3 linked regions of the Coturnix japonica genome follow. The protein of the gene in region 3 interacts with the protein of the main gene of each other region in a biochemical or structural test. Links are inferred from orthologs where the notes say so. Each region holds a gene or a part of one and is shown on either strand. Other genes may lie near its edges.

Region 1 (3,987 bases), on a different chromosome or scaffold from region 3:
TTCCCTGGGGAGAGTGGGCAGAGGGGGTGAATGAGCTAGAGCTTGAGTCTGGTGTATTGTCCCTTTCTGCAGGAGAGTGCTCTATTAAAACAGAGAACCACTGTTATTGCACTGATGTTGCCAAGACCAACTGTTCTAGGCTGCTTTCTCTGGTCACGGGCATGAGCAGTTATTCCCTCTTCCATATGCATTTCATCTTTTCTCTCCTTAGGCTTTTCCTCCTCCTTGCCTGAAAGAGACAGCTCCCATAGGGAAACCTCCTCCAGCCAGCCCTGCTACCCCACAGGCTGCTTCCATCCTGAGAAGTCCCACTGCCAAGTCAAAGAAGCCAGGCCTGCAGCCAGTACAGGATGCCAGGCTGAGCCAGACTGCACCACTCACCCAAGCAGAGGAGAGCTCAGACAGCAGCAGTTCCTCTGACAGCGAGAAGGAGACACCCAAGCAGCCTCCCAAACCTGGTCAGTTCTCCCAAGAAGATGCTCTTGGTGTCGTGGGCCAGCTTTTTGTTACCCTATGGGAGGTGTATCTCCTTCGTATTAGTAGCTAGAGAGTGATTTTTCTCCAGCTCTGCAGAAGGCTCCCCTTTGGAGGGAGAAGGCCTGTTGGTGGCAATCCTCATGGGCTGTGTAGGTGAACTAGCCCTGAGTAAGCAGTGGTGGGTTTAATGGGATGAACTGTGTTTCTCCAACAGGGATGCTGCAGAAACCAGGAAAGACTGAGCCAGATGACAGCTCCTTGTCAGAGTCCAGTGATGATGAAGAGGCAGTATCACAGGTATTGTACCTGAGCAGGCTGTGGGATCCATCTTGCAGCTGACTTCTAAGCAGCAGATAAAAGGATGAGTTTTCCACCATAGCAAATGGAAAGCTTTGGTAGGATTAATAGCAGGAAAGCAAGGGTTTCCCAGTGTAGTGCTGTGAGCAGGGCTTTCTGGTGTGGGAAGGCAGAGGCTTTGAAATCTGGAATGCTTCCCCAGGCAGCCAAGCCCTGGGTTCAGAGCTCATGATACTTTTCCCTGCAGATGGGAGGAGATGGTACCCAGCAAGGGTAAAACTGATGCATAGTTCCAATAGCAGCAGGATTTTTTCCCCTTTTACTTGTAACTTAACCCCTATTCAAGCCTTTAAATTCCCTCTGTAAGTAACATACAGGGTGTGTAGCACATCTGTAGTGCATTAGCTGTACATGGGTGCATGCTAATGGCCAGGAACCTCCTGCAAGCCTGCTTTACTGGGTGAGAACAAAGCAGAGACCCCATTACCATCAGCTCTTGCTGTTGCAAGCTCAGGGTATGTCTGTGCTGGCTCCCTCTCCTGGCAGCCCTGCCTTGCCATGGGCTCTCTGCAGAGCAGGCTGAACCATGGATTATCACTCTGCAGGGGGCCTATACAATCAAATGTACAGTTGAAACAAGGCAAGAATAGTTATGTATGGTTAGAATAAGACAGGAATAGAAATATACAGTTGGAATAATACAAGAGTTATAAATAGATAGCCAGAAGTATCCATGGGAAAAACTCACCAACTCTGAGGCCTTCAGTCAAGATGGAAAAGGTTGAGGCTTGCCACTGGAACTCCACAAAGGAACAGCCTCCAAAAAGAGATGCTGCCTTAGTGGTGGTCAGCCCTTAAATGGGATCTAGGAGAGGTGGAGTCAAGCTCCACGCCTTCCGGGAGCACAGCTGAATTACCTTCACCTGCGCTCCTGCAGCTGACTCATTGCTTGCCTCTGACTGTTTAATCAGAAGTTCAGGCTGTGATTAACAGTTTCCTATACAGGGCCCTTCACTTGGAGTATGTGGGCAATATCAACATGTGTACGAGGTATGAGGGAAGCTGCTCTTCTGTGCCGTTTCCTCAGCGTCTGTGCTATTTCAGTCCCTCCTCACAGGTTATATGAGCCTCTCCAAGAGCCCAGCAGCACCTCAAGCACCAAAGACGGTTCCCCCCCAGCCTGTAGGCAACACAGGGCAAGGGAAAGCAGCTGTGAATGCCACTAGCTCCCTCGCCAAAGTCTCTGTGAAAGCAGCCCCAGCTGACAGCTCCAGCAGTGACAGCAGTGACTCTGACACAGACATCGAGCAGGTGTCTGCAAACCACAAAGCAGGTGGGTCCTTTGGCAAGGCTGGGAATCTGCCTGGCACAGGAGCAGAGCTGTGTTGGCACAGGAGAGTGACACTGGGGCCAGGGCCTGTTCTGGCTGTGTCTCCACTGCAAAACCCAGTGTGGGGTGCTGCTGCCGTCTGCTGGCTTCCCCTGGCCATGACACAGCCATCTCTGCTGTAGCTGGGATGGCCAGCACATTCTTCAAATACATATTCCCCTCCCCTGCTGCAAGGAATGCTCCTGGAGTTTTCATCTCTCTCTTGTCACTGTTTCTGCAGAAAGCAAACCCTCTCCAGGCCAGGAAGCCACAGGGACATCCAACAAAGAGAAGGGGGCAGGAAAAACTGATGCAAATCATGCCAACCCCAAACCTTCCTCAGTCAAGAAAGCCGTGGCTAACAAAGAGAACGATGTTGAGGCAAAAGGGACGCAAGCAAACCCATTGCCATCTGCACTGCTTACAACCCCACAGCCAGTGCAGTCGAGTTTGGAGAACAAAAGTGAGGTCACCAGTGCTGCTGGAGTTCCTGCAGTGCAAACACCAGACGGGTTGGAAGAGAAAAAGAAGAAAAAAAAAGAGAAAAAAGAAAAGAAGGAGAAGAAGAAACCTTCCTCCACAGCAGACAAGGCTGTGAAAACAGCTAAGGGCAAAGACAAAGAGAACAAAAAACAGAAAGCATCTCAGAAACGGAAACATCCAGGAGAGGATGGAGCTGTTGGGCAGCCCAAGGAAAAGAAGAGGAAAGGGCAAGGTAATGAAGAAGTGCCCAAAAAGAAGAAAAAGAAAGCAGCTGATGACCAGGAGAAGCTGCCAGGAAGCAAGGAAAAGAAAAAGTCAAGTAAAAGTAAGTTTCCGTGTGGTGTCATGTGGGGCTGTGTTCGCAGTGGGTTCTTGCAGCTGATGGGTGCTCAGCCTCTGTTTCAGGGCAACCACCTTCCCATCAGCCTTGTCTCATTCCTTTCTGGCCCACCCAAAGCCAGTGCAAGATTTTTAACTCCCCGCTTTAGCATTTTTTCTGCATTTTCAGCATCAGGTCATACAGACAGCTGGGCTCTCCTGCCTTTCTCCCATATCCAACACAACACGAACCATGTCATACTTACACTGATCCTTGTTGCTTGCAAAGCAAGCTGATGTCCCTATGCAAATGTCATGGGATGACCTGTCTCGTGGTTTTCTCCTTTCCAGGCCTTTGCCAGGGCTGGAAGTATCCAACTCAGGGCTGGCAGAGGTCAGACTGTGCTGAACTGCCTGAGACCTCCTTGTGCACCATGTGATGCCTTTCTGTGCTGGGCTAACACAGGAGCATTTTTTTATCCTTTGCAGTTCAGAATCCATTTGCAAGCTGTAGCTATTGTGGACTTCTTCTTCATGAGAGAGAAGGAAGATGGAATGGGTGGGCAAGATTTGCTGGGCTTTCTGTTCTGCAGAGATATAGCCCTTCGTTTTGGAGGAGACAGCCTTGTCTGTCAGCCTCTGTGTGGGCTGTAGCACAGACATGCACTGGAGCTTCTTGGTACAGTCGTGCTCAGCTGAAACTTGTGTCCATCTGGTGTTGGTAGCTCCCCTTGCTTTGGTTTCTGGCATGTGCTCAGCTGCTCCAGCATGGAAACAGTTCCTCAAGGTGGTTGGACAGCAGCAAGTGGGAAGAAGGGCAGCCTGCCTAATTCTGCCTACACGTGTGCAGGAATCAAACTACTCAGGCCTCAGGGTACTGGAGTGGGCACAGCTTCTTGGTGGCACAGCTCTGCCCTCACCCAGAGGTGCTGCCATGGGTTGGATGTGATCAGAAACTCACCAGGAATGCCTCCTCCTCAACCAAGAGCTCCTGATGCTCTTTATGTCCCCTCACAGAGGTCTTAGTTGACTTTTCTTTCCCA
Region 2 (5,389 bases), on a different chromosome or scaffold from region 3:
TGGATATCATGGAATAATACTCACATATTCAGAAACAGATAGAAGTAAAAATAGATGGACAAACATGTATATGCTCCATGATTACCGTTATTTCTCTTGCAAATCCATTTAATCTCAAAGTAATATATATATATATCTCAAAATCATCCCTCTGGTGTCAGATTAGGATTTAAACATGCACTTTGAAACCAGCTTTTACATCATTTCTCCCTTGAAAGCTTTGCAGGATCATATAAACAGCTAACAATGCCATCTTCTTGCTCAATGAGAATCCATGGGATTTCTCCATGTACATCAGTGTCACCTGGGATGCCATTTGATTCCATCAATGTAGAACACAGGAAATCCCTTTAGCCTGTCAAATGAAATTAATGTGCCTCCCCAAAGTAACTGTCTGTGCACCATTTCAGCACTTTACAACAACCTCCTCCTGAAAAACCAGATTACAACAGGACGCTTTAGACACACTAGGAACCAAAAAGTGCCAGAAGATACACTTTAGTGTATGGAAAAAGAATTTGTGGGTTGGGAAAAAGCAAAAGAAGGGCCTCATTGTGCTACTGAGGAAGAGCCAGGTCGTCTCTCTGCAAGTCAGGCTCTCTGTCTTCATTTAAGGCTGCAGCTCCATGCACAGCAGCTTGTGCAAAGGAAAACAGATTTCATTACTTCAATTCAAGCTAAAGCTGAGCCTTGCTGAGCCTGTTCTTCATTAGAAATCAGCGTGATCTGCACCTTCCACACAGGAACAGCACTACTTAACCCACCCTACAGTATAAAAACCATTTTGCCACGGACTTCCAGAGCAAGGGTGGAAAATTCATCACGTTTTCTGTTATTCCCTCCATTTCCCCTATGGCTGATAACCCAATGACCTTTTGCTTCCAGTCCTAGGATTCCTCTTTTGCCCGCCACCACATTTCCAATACAGCACTGACTAAAGCAGCACTTGACAGTGAGGAAGGCGTGTCACTTGCTTTTCCTTGCTCTAACATCTGTCCCACACAATTGCCCACAGAGGTCAGACCACATAGCAGGGTTAATTGCTGGAGCTGTTGCTCACCAGTTTGCTGATGTTATGGGCAATTTGATTTGTTTGGTATGGAGATGGGACAGGCTCTGCTCAGGATCCTTAAAGCAGACATAGAAATGTAACTCCCTATCGTCTGTAATACAGGAAATGTTTTCTCACGCCTCCCTTTTATGCAGTGAGATCTGATGTGTATGCTCTGAAATTCAGCAGCTCTAACTCAGGACCCTCATAAACAGCTCTCTCTTGCTTGTGCCCAGCAGGCTTTGTATCAGAACAACAACAAAAAGTCCCCAGTGCAAAGCAAAAGGAACAAAACAGGACTTCCAATTTATCAACAAATACCTCGAGGCTTATAGACAAGAAAGCTTTTATTGAACAAGAGGAATAGCTCATTTATAGCCACAGCACTATAAGCAGCTGAATGAAACGCCTTATCAGAGCCACAGCTATTCCATGACTTCAACACCACACTCAAGTCCCAGACATCACTTTAAGCTCTGGCCTTGGCATTCAACATACACTTAGACTTTTTGTTTGTTGTTTTTGTCGGATTTAACTGCACAGACACTTTCCATCTGGCAGCATTACAGACCCTCCCTCCCCTCTCCAACATGGCGCCGTTCCCTCAGAGGCGGAGGCGCCGCGCGCCACGCAAGCACGCACGCACGCACGCACAGACGTACGGACGTCGTTACGTCATGGCGGCGGTGCGCAGGCGCTCGGGCGGCACGTGTCGGCGCAGCATGGCGGAGCGGCGGGCCGTGCCCAGCGACCTGTTCCCGTTCGTGCTCGCCTTCCTGCGCGAGAACCGCTTCGAGGGCGCCGCCAGAGCCTTCGCCAAGGAGGCGGCGGCGGTGAGCGGGGCTGGGCCGGGGCGGGGGGCGGGATGTGGAGCGGGATGTCCCCATGTTTGAGGCTAACACGTGTCCGTGTGTCCCCGCAGAAGGAGCAGGACCCCAACGCCGCCTCGCTGCTGGACATCTTCAGCTACTGGGTGAGGTGAGCGCTGCCCGCACGGAGCTGGGCTCAGCTCGGGGCAGTGCCCTGCAGCTCCGTCCCTCTGTCTCCATGCAGGTCTCCTGCCGCCAGGAAAAGGAAGCTCGTGCCCAACGGGCCGCAGGCGAAGCGCACGGCGGCCACCAGCAGCAGCGAGAGCTCCAGCGAGGAGGAGGAGGAGGAGGATGCGGCCCCGCCTGCCAAGAAGCCGGGTGAGATGGGGGGAAAGTGCAGCGTTGGGTTGGCGGCCTGGCCCTGCTCTGGGTACGGCTGGTGCTGCTGACAGAGCACGGCCACGTCCTGGTCTGAGAAATGCAGAATCATAAAAGCTGGGAAAGATCCCTAAGATCCCTAAAATCATCTGCCCACCAGCCCAGCACAGCCACTAACCACGTCCCTCAGTGCCACATCTCTGCGTTTGTTAAGCATCTCTCTGGGCAGCCCGTGCTGGTGCATTGCCACTCCTTCAGATAAGTTCTTCTTAATATCCAACCTGAACTCCTCTGGTACAACTTGAGGCCATTTTCTCTCAGTTGACTAGTTGACTTCTAGTCCTGCTGACTGTGTTGTTTCTATTACAAGTTAGGATGCCCTTGGCGGTTCAGACAACCATCAGCCAACACCTCCAGATCCTTTTCCTCCATGCAGCTTGCCAGCCCCTCTGCCCCAAACCCCAAGCAACGTATGGGGTTGTCACAATCAGTGCTCAGGACCTGGTGTTTGGTTTTGTTGAAGCTCATACAACTGGCCTCAGCACATTGATCCAGCCTATCCAGATCCCTCTGTAGGGCCTTCCTACCCTGAGGCGGATCAACGCTTCCAGCTTGATGTCATCTGCGAACTTACTGAGGATGCACTCAATCCCTCAGTCTCCTTCCTGGAGCTTCCCATTTCTGTTTGTGATTCACTTTAATTCCCGGTAGGCGTGAGCTCGTTATCCAGGTACAAGTTAAAATCTGTAGCACAGCTTTGGAATGATTCTCTTTGGAAGTCTGCAGTGGTTTGTTGTGGAAGCTGGAAGGTATGTGCCATCAACAACTTCAACATTATCTCATTCTGTGGGAGTGCTTCTTGTATGGGGTGTTGCTGCTGAGAAGTCTGCTCTTAAATATGTGAGTAATAAGAGCTGAATGAGTCTAGAACTGTTTTGGATTCTTGTTCTGCTCTGTGAATGGCAGACTGAAGCTTGGGTCAGTGTTATAATCTTCAGACATATTTTACTGACTTAAATAGACTATTTTAACACAGTATAATAGTAATGCAGGATATACATATATGGGAAGCATGAATTAAACAATCAACATATTTGTTCCTTTACTTGCAGCTAAAGCAACAGCTGTAACAAAGGCAAAAGTTCTTCCTGCCAAGAAGGCAAAGAGCAGCAGCGAGGACTCTAGTGATGATTCTGACTCAGAGGAGGAGGAGAAGAAGCCAGCAAAGGTTAGCCTTCCTTTCTAGCCTCTTCACTACATGCTAGATAAGGATGAATGATAGCAAATTTGACCAGCAAAATTCTCCCTGCAACTGAGCTTGCCTTCCACAAACTACAAAGCACCTGGACTTCTGGAGATGCAATGTAATAAGATGCTTATGTGATAGACAGTGTACCATTTAGATGGAGCCTCTGAAAAACTCATTTCATGTCTAGCAGTTATTTGTTTCGTATCCATGTCTACTCCTGGTTCTTTTCCCAGTCAGTGCTTGGGTTTTGTTTTTTGTTTTGTTTTGTTTAAGAGAAAGATGATTTATAGCTTATACACATGTATAAATAGATAATTTCCTCTTTATTCACTACTGCCATGGTCTTGAAAAGTAGAGGGAGGAAAAACAGTGTTGCGCTTGAAGAGGCAAACCAGGGTTTCCTCATCAGTATTTTCAGTCTTTGAACTAGTCTGATCCCCAAAGAGAAGTCCCAGATCCCCCTCCTTTTGAAGGGGAAGAACTGGAGACTGAAGAGTAAAGAACATGTCCTGTGTGCTTCTGTGAGGCTTCCCAGAGCAAAACTGGAAGCAAAACCATTATTCAGAGATTTTTAAACACTAGCTGTTAGGCTGTGAGGTTTCCAACTGTTTCAACTTCCTGTACATGTTCCACTTATTAGCCTCCTTTTCTTTGCTACAAGGGCTACTCAGTTTTCTTCCTTTCATTTAGAAAGGCACAAAACCTGCAGCGAAGCCAGCTGTAACCAAAATCCAGCCTCAGAAGAAAGCGGAGAGCTCCAGCTCTGACTCAAGCAGCTCAGATGAAGAAGAACCAAAGAAACAGCCACCAAAAGCAGCGACACCTAAAGCAGGTATCTCCTTGATTGGGTATTGTGAGTCTGCATGCACAAAAGTCTAAAGGAGTGAGGCATACATGTTAATGAAGTCTGCAAATCTATTGTCTCTGCCATTTGTATTCTAGGGCAGTCTACTTTCAACATGGAGTGTGTGTAGAACTGATTGTAAATGAAACATCATGTCATAAATGAAACATCAAGTCATAAAGGCTGTATTATTTGCATAAGTAGCTGCAGTCAGCAACCTTAGTTGCTTATGTTGTGCTTTTATCAATGTCTTCCCATAAAATGCAGAGCTGGAGTAAGTTAACAGTGCTTACTCTTTGTTCACAGAACTATTAATAAGTTAGGGAACCCTTAATAAGTTAGGGCAGACATCTTACTGAAAATCATCCCTACGCTTGAAGAAGAGTAAAAACAGAAAGTTTACAGTACTTACCATAATGGTTCCTCATTATCTTTTGCCGTGTTTTTCTCTCTATGGTACTTTATGCTGAATGAGTGTATTTTCTAGTACTGCTTTTCACTTTTCCCTAAAGGAAATAAAGCTGCTCAAGCAACCACCAAAGTGGTCAATGGGAAAGCACCAAGCAGCAGCAGTAGCAGCAGCAGTAGTGAAGATTCTGATGAGAAAAAGGCTGCACAGAAAAAGGTAAATTGGACTTTGCAAGAGTTTTTAGATGCTGTAGTACTGTAGCAAGATTGGATGTATCTCTGTCTTTCTGGGACTGTGAAACAGATAGAGTAGGGCACAGGCTGCATGGAAGCTGAGTAAAGTATTTATGGCTCTTAAGCAGTTTTTCTTTTTTATGGTAGTATTATGCCGTAGAATCATAAGAACTGCTTAGGCTTGAAGGGACCCTAAGGTTCATCAAGCTCCAAGCCTCATGTTGTGGTTTAGTTGCCACCCACCAGATCAGGCTGTCCAGGATCACATCCAATCTGGCTTTGAACACCTTCAGGGATGGGGTATTCACAGCTTCTCTGGACGGTCTGTGCCAGGTCCTTGCCACCCACTGTGTGATGTTCCAAACGGAACATGACCTAACATGTCCTGTCCATGCCCTGACTTTCCTCTGCTACTT
Region 3 (5,425 bases):
ACCCAGTAAATCAGTGTCAGCGCTAAGATAAAATTCCAATTTTCTGACTTCTATGCTTAAATCCCGGGCTTGTATTGCTTCCCAGGCAGAATACAGAAGACAGATAGAAACAAAGGGAGATGGAACTCCCTTTCTTTTAGCACCTTGAGATTTCTGAAAGCACTGACGGACGCTGGTATTTGTGTGCAATGCAAGTGCTGTTTATAAAACTTAGCTTCAACATCGTGATTGCCGCAGATCTCAGAGCAGCCTGCATGGGCAAAGTGCTTCTCATTTTGCATCCAAGAAAGCCAGTAAATAGGATGTAGACCTGGGTGACAAAGTCTGTTCCTTGAGTTCCCGTGAATGTGTGTCACTCTGTGCTAAATCTTCTTAGTGTTAGGGAGTGCTAATGAAGGTTTCCAGACAGGGAAGTGGATGACAGTGTATTTACTGTACCTGAGAAGGATTTCAGAGTAAGAGAAAGCATTGATAGCAGTGCCTCTTAATGAATAGCCAAACCTGCTTGTCTGGCAATTTATTTTCTTCACATGAATCTTACAAAGGTAAGCTATTTCATGAAACACTTTACTCCAAAGTACCAGTTCAATGCAGTATTTATATTAAAAAACATTTTCCATTTCGCTTCTGCATTTTGAACACTAAATCCAGCCCAGCTTCAGTGTCCACACCAAAGGAAATGAACTGCATTAGGCAATGTCATTTGCTAAAAGGTAAGAGTGGAGTCCCCTAGTTTTATATTTCTAGGGACAATTTCACAGGCCATGCTATTGCTGAATGGGGAAATTGGAAAACTGCAGAATCGATTTGCAGACGTGCAGTTCTATTTTCTTTCACACCTCCTTCATCAGTGCCCCCATCATCCCTGTGTTGTGTTGCATTATTACTGACAGCAGCCTGGACATCACTGATAATGGCTAAAGTAGGGAAAGGCAACTTGTAGCAAGTGAAAGCTAAACCACATGAGAAGCAGTCAGAAGATGCCGAGCACTGCTATTTTTGCTTCTAAAACTCATCTGCTTCAGGGTACCATAATACACCCATGGCACATTGCTGCTGAGAGCTAAAGTGAAACACTGCTTTTAAAAAAAAAGAATCTTATCTAAATTGGATTGGGTTTGTTTGCATTTATTTTTCCTTGAGCAAACGGCTGTACCGCAAAGTTGCATTACATCTATTTTGATTTATAATAGAAGAAATGTGTAGTCCTTCAAAACGCTCCCACTATTTTTCCCACTATTAGTCCTCCACAGTACGCTGCTGCTAATGGCTCAGTTAGCAAAACTGATGGGATGGTTATGACCAAACACCAAGGAGAAAAAAAAAAAAGCAAAAATAGCTGGTGACTATCAGCTGCTTCATCTCCAGGGCAGAAATGGTGCCTTGTGATGTTAAAGGGCATTGGCAACAAGATGAGGTCTGTCTGTTGGGGTCACCCAGCTGCCTTCTGGATGGCTGCGTGCCAGGGGCACCATTACAGAATGAGAGAGAAAACTATGAGGTCCAACACAAAGTGTTTGTGGATTGGTTCTGATTAACGGGCTGGAAAGATGTGGGGTTTGCAAACCACAATTCGCTCTGCTTTTGTGGCATCAGGAAGGCAGCAAATACTGGGGAGGTTTTTGTTTATTTTAGGGTTTTTTGGTCCGTTTTTTGTTTGTTTGTTTTGGTTTTGTTTTTGTTTGTTTATTTTTGTTTGTTTTTGTTTGTTTGTGCTTTTTCTGTCATCTTTTATTCTTCCAGCAGGGCCCATGGCAGCCGATGCCCCTCCATGCTGGGTGCCATCTTTGCTCTCCATTGAGGGCTGGGGATTACTGCCAGGAGCTGCAGGTAAGCGTGAACAGGAGCAAAGCAGCACAAAACCTGACAGAGCAGAGACTGGGGGTGTTACTATCCAGCAGGGTCATTCAAAGGGGGAGCTCGTTCTGGCCGTGCTACACCTTCACGACCCCACCTGAGGGCCCCAAAATGGCCGCTCCGCCCTTCACTTCCCTCCTCCTCGTTGCTACGCGACGGGCCGCCCCCAAATCGCTTAATGCGAACTACAACTCCCAGCATTCCCCTCTAGGCCGAAGCCGTGCGTCTTCCGCTTCCAGAACTACATTACCCAGCAGACCTCGGTGGTGAGCGCCAATCAGCGCGCTTCGTGTTGAGAGGTGGAGGGGAGCGGGGTTGGCTTCCGCAGGAAGCGGCGCAGGTTGACGTTTCCTCTCGCCCCCCCCCCCTTCTCCCGCTGCCGGAGCTGGGGACCCGAGAATGGCAGCGTTAGGAGGTTGGTGCGGCCAGGGGGGGAGGGCTGTGTGGGCATTGGGGGTGGGGGACGAGCCCATAGGGCCTGTAGGGTTGGGGTGCGGAGTGGGGGGAGGTAGGACCAAGAGGGGGTTTAAGGGAGTGGGGTTTAATAGGGGGGTTTTATGGGTGGGATGGGGAGATGCTCCCTATGGGAGTTTAGAGCAGGGTGAGGTGTATGGACTGAGTGTGGGGGGGCTTGGGATGGAAAGGGATGTGAGTGGGGGAGATATTAGGAGGAGAAAAAAGGTGTTTGTTGTGATAGAGAGGAGTGAGACCTGAGGAGTGAACGGCGTTAAACAGGAAAACGGATACGTGGATGAGAGCGTGCCTGGTTGCTTCCATCAGGGCTGGGAGCTGCCTTCATAGCATGTGCTCATCGCCTGGGTGAATGGCAGGGTCAGGGAGGGACAGTTTTGAGCCTTTTCAGCAATAGTATGTACATAAAATTCCTTTGCAGTGGCTGCTATATCGCTGTGTTACTGTACGTTAAGGTTTGGCCAGGTAGGAAGCCTTGGCATCCGTGTAGCAGGTATTATTTCCTTGGAATTTATAGTGATGAACATTCCTTCTGAAAAAGACCTGAATTTCCTCCTTTCCCTGTGGCTGGTTGGTTACTGAATGTTGATGTTTAGTTACTGCAGTCAATTCCCCACTGAAGATTTTATCCTTAAATACGGTATTTACTAACTTATTTTGAGGAGGGGAAAAGTGTTTTGAGGAGTTCTCCTACCAGTGGTTTGAACAGGCACTGACTATATTTGGCCTTAAGCCTACCAGGAAAATGTGCCTGACCAGCAGATCCCCACTGACTTCATTGAGTGCTCAGAGCTGTGTCTGAATTCTAAGAGAAACTGTATCTCCTGTGTGTTGCCGTGCGTTAGAATTTCAGTCTCTTAGTCCTTGTTGTTCACTGGCCTTTACTCCCCTTTGTGTTGCCCTAAATGTGTTGAGGGCTTTCAGTTGCAATCAGCAGCTTCACCTGATTTGCAGCTTTTATCACCTAATGTTTTCCTTTTGAGTTCTTTGTTATTGTTGCGTAAAAATCTTGTTGCTATTACGAAACGGATTTTTGTGCTTGAGGTATTGCTCAATTTTCACTTTGGGATTTACTTCGTTAAGCATATCACATGTTAGTAAGGATCGTGTTCTCATTGCATGTTTTCACAATGATATGCAAGTACTTTCACACCTGGGTAGTCTTAAATGGTAATTGCATTTAACTGGTAAATAAAAACATGTAACCATACATACAGATTTACATGAATTCATCTATGTTTGTTGCTCTATATATTTACTGTAAGGCAGTTTCTTTGTGATTGTACTCTGTTAGTCATCATTTGTGGAAGTTAGTAGCCAGTTCCTGTTTCAGTGTGGAGTTTACAAGCATATAGAATTGTGCAATGGTGAATTTGGTTGTGGGCTAGTCCTACTCTTCTGCATTCTTTGTTCTTCCCATTTTAGAAGTCAGTAAACACTGTGATACTTCCTTCCCTCCAACACATCTCCCAAGAGGTGTTTAGTAAGACATTCATGTGAATATTCTCTTAAAGTTAGTAAGATAGGGAAGGAGGGAAAAAAGACAATAACAAACAACAAAACAACCAGGCAGATAAATTCAATCTACTCCCATATATCCTTATATATTTATTCATCCTTGAGTATGTTAGATTTGCTGTTAATGGATGATGACGGTAAGGCCATACAGAATATTAACTTGCATTAAATATTACATTCTGGACATGTATACTTTCTCTTTTTTTCTGTTTTAAATGGTTTTAATTTTGCTTTGTAGAACCAAGTAAGTTTTCACAAACACTGAATGGAATTCCTTCTTCAAACACAGTCAGCAGTGGAATGGACCCCTTCCATGCTTGCAGTATTCTTCAACAACTTAAAACCATGTATGACGAAGGACAACTGACAGATATTGTAGTGGAAGTGGATCATGGGAAAACATTCTCCTGTCATAGAAATGTTCTTGCTGCAATCAGTCCTTACTTCAGGTACAGTAATCTGTTGTTCTAGGGATGATAAAAAGGGGGATTATAAATTATTTCCATTTAATGACCAAAAAAAGCACAACCTTTACTAATGTTCCATGTAACTATTGATGATATAGTTTATCTAGTAAATACATTTCTACAGTAACAGTGTAGTTAAACTGTGTTTCATTTTATAAGTATGCTGTCATGTTGGAATGTGCATATGGATAACTTGTTGAAAGTTAAGTGCAGTGACTTGGATGTGTCAAGAGCTTTGCTTTTAAAATGATTGAATTTTTATATGGAATTATTGGGATAACTAAGAAAGAAATTCCAACTTGCCATTTTTGACTTAAGTCTGGGACTGTTCTTAAGTTTAGGTTCCCAAGCAGAACAGTGTAACATCATTGTTAAATGTGTTTGTGCTCACAAAAGGGCAGAGTTGTTGGGGTTAGCTTATGGTATAATTTCTTAGATCTGTAGTTAGAAGGTAACTGCAAATAAACTGCTAAATATTTTTCTTTTGTAGATCTATGTTCACTAGCGGCCTTACAGAGAGTACCCAGAAAGAAGTTCGTATAGTTGGTGTTGAAGCAGAGTCAATGCATTTAGTGTTGAACTATGCATATACCTCCAGAGTAATGCTGACAGAGGCCAACGTTCAAGCTTTGTTCACTGCAGCTAGTATCTTCCAGATCCCTTCCATACAAGACCAGTGTGCTAAATATATGATCAGTCATTTGGACCCACAGAACTCCATTGGGGTGTTTATCTTTGCTGATCACTATGGTCATCAGGAACTCAAAGACAGATCACAAGACTACATTCGTAAAAAGTTTCTGAGTGTCACCAAAGAGCAAGAGTTTCTTCAGTTGAGAAAAGACCAGCTCATAAGTATACTCGACAGTGATGACTTAAATGTAGACAAAGAAGAACATGTTTATGACAGCATTATAAGGTGGTTTGAGCATGAACAAAATAAGCGAGAAGTGCACCTTCCAGAGATATTTGCCAAATGCATCCGTATGCCTCTATTGGAAGAGACATTTTTAGAGAAAATCCCTCCCGTGTTTGCACAGGCTATGGCCAAAAGCTGTGTACAAAAGGGACAACATAGTGCCAATGGCTATACACAACGGCTCGGAATGACT

The links.
Region 1: the proteins of KBTBD8 (region 3) and TCOF1 form a complex in vitro, tested with the Homo sapiens proteins (2 studies listed by BioGRID, with this or other methods). The link is inferred for Coturnix japonica from reciprocal best matches to the Homo sapiens genes KBTBD8 and TCOF1.
Region 2: the proteins of KBTBD8 (region 3) and NOLC1 form a complex in vitro, tested with the Homo sapiens proteins (2 studies listed by BioGRID). The link is inferred for Coturnix japonica from reciprocal best matches to the Homo sapiens genes KBTBD8 and NOLC1.

What each region holds. Positions count from the first base shown.
Region 1 is NC_029528.1:4,918,616-4,922,602, forward strand, and holds part of TCOF1 (treacle protein), read left to right. Parts: intron 1-211; coding exon 212-458; intron 459-691; coding exon 692-774; intron 775-1,878; coding exon 1,879-2,107; intron 2,108-2,384; coding exon 2,385-2,951; intron 2,952-3,987.
Region 2 is NC_029521.1:14,292,556-14,297,944, forward strand, and holds the start of NOLC1 (nucleolar and coiled-body phosphoprotein 1), read left to right. Parts: upstream 1-1,713; 5' UTR 1,714-1,728; coding exon 1,729-1,884; intron 1,885-1,973; coding exon 1,974-2,029; intron 2,030-2,104; coding exon 2,105-2,238; intron 2,239-3,350; coding exon 3,351-3,466; intron 3,467-4,177; coding exon 4,178-4,319; intron 4,320-4,843; coding exon 4,844-4,956; intron 4,957-5,389. UniProt on the Homo sapiens protein: Nucleolar protein that acts as a regulator of RNA polymerase I by connecting RNA polymerase I with enzymes responsible for ribosomal processing and modification.
Region 3 is NC_029527.1:12,051,154-12,056,578, forward strand, and holds the start of KBTBD8 (kelch repeat and BTB domain-containing protein 8), read left to right. Parts: upstream 1-2,144; 5' UTR 2,145-2,256; coding exon 2,257-2,272; intron 2,273-2,749; coding exon 2,750-2,821; intron 2,822-4,084; coding exon 4,085-4,295; intron 4,296-4,803; coding exon 4,804-5,425. UniProt on the Homo sapiens protein: Substrate-specific adapter of a BCR (BTB-CUL3-RBX1) E3 ubiquitin ligase complex that acts as a regulator of neural crest specification.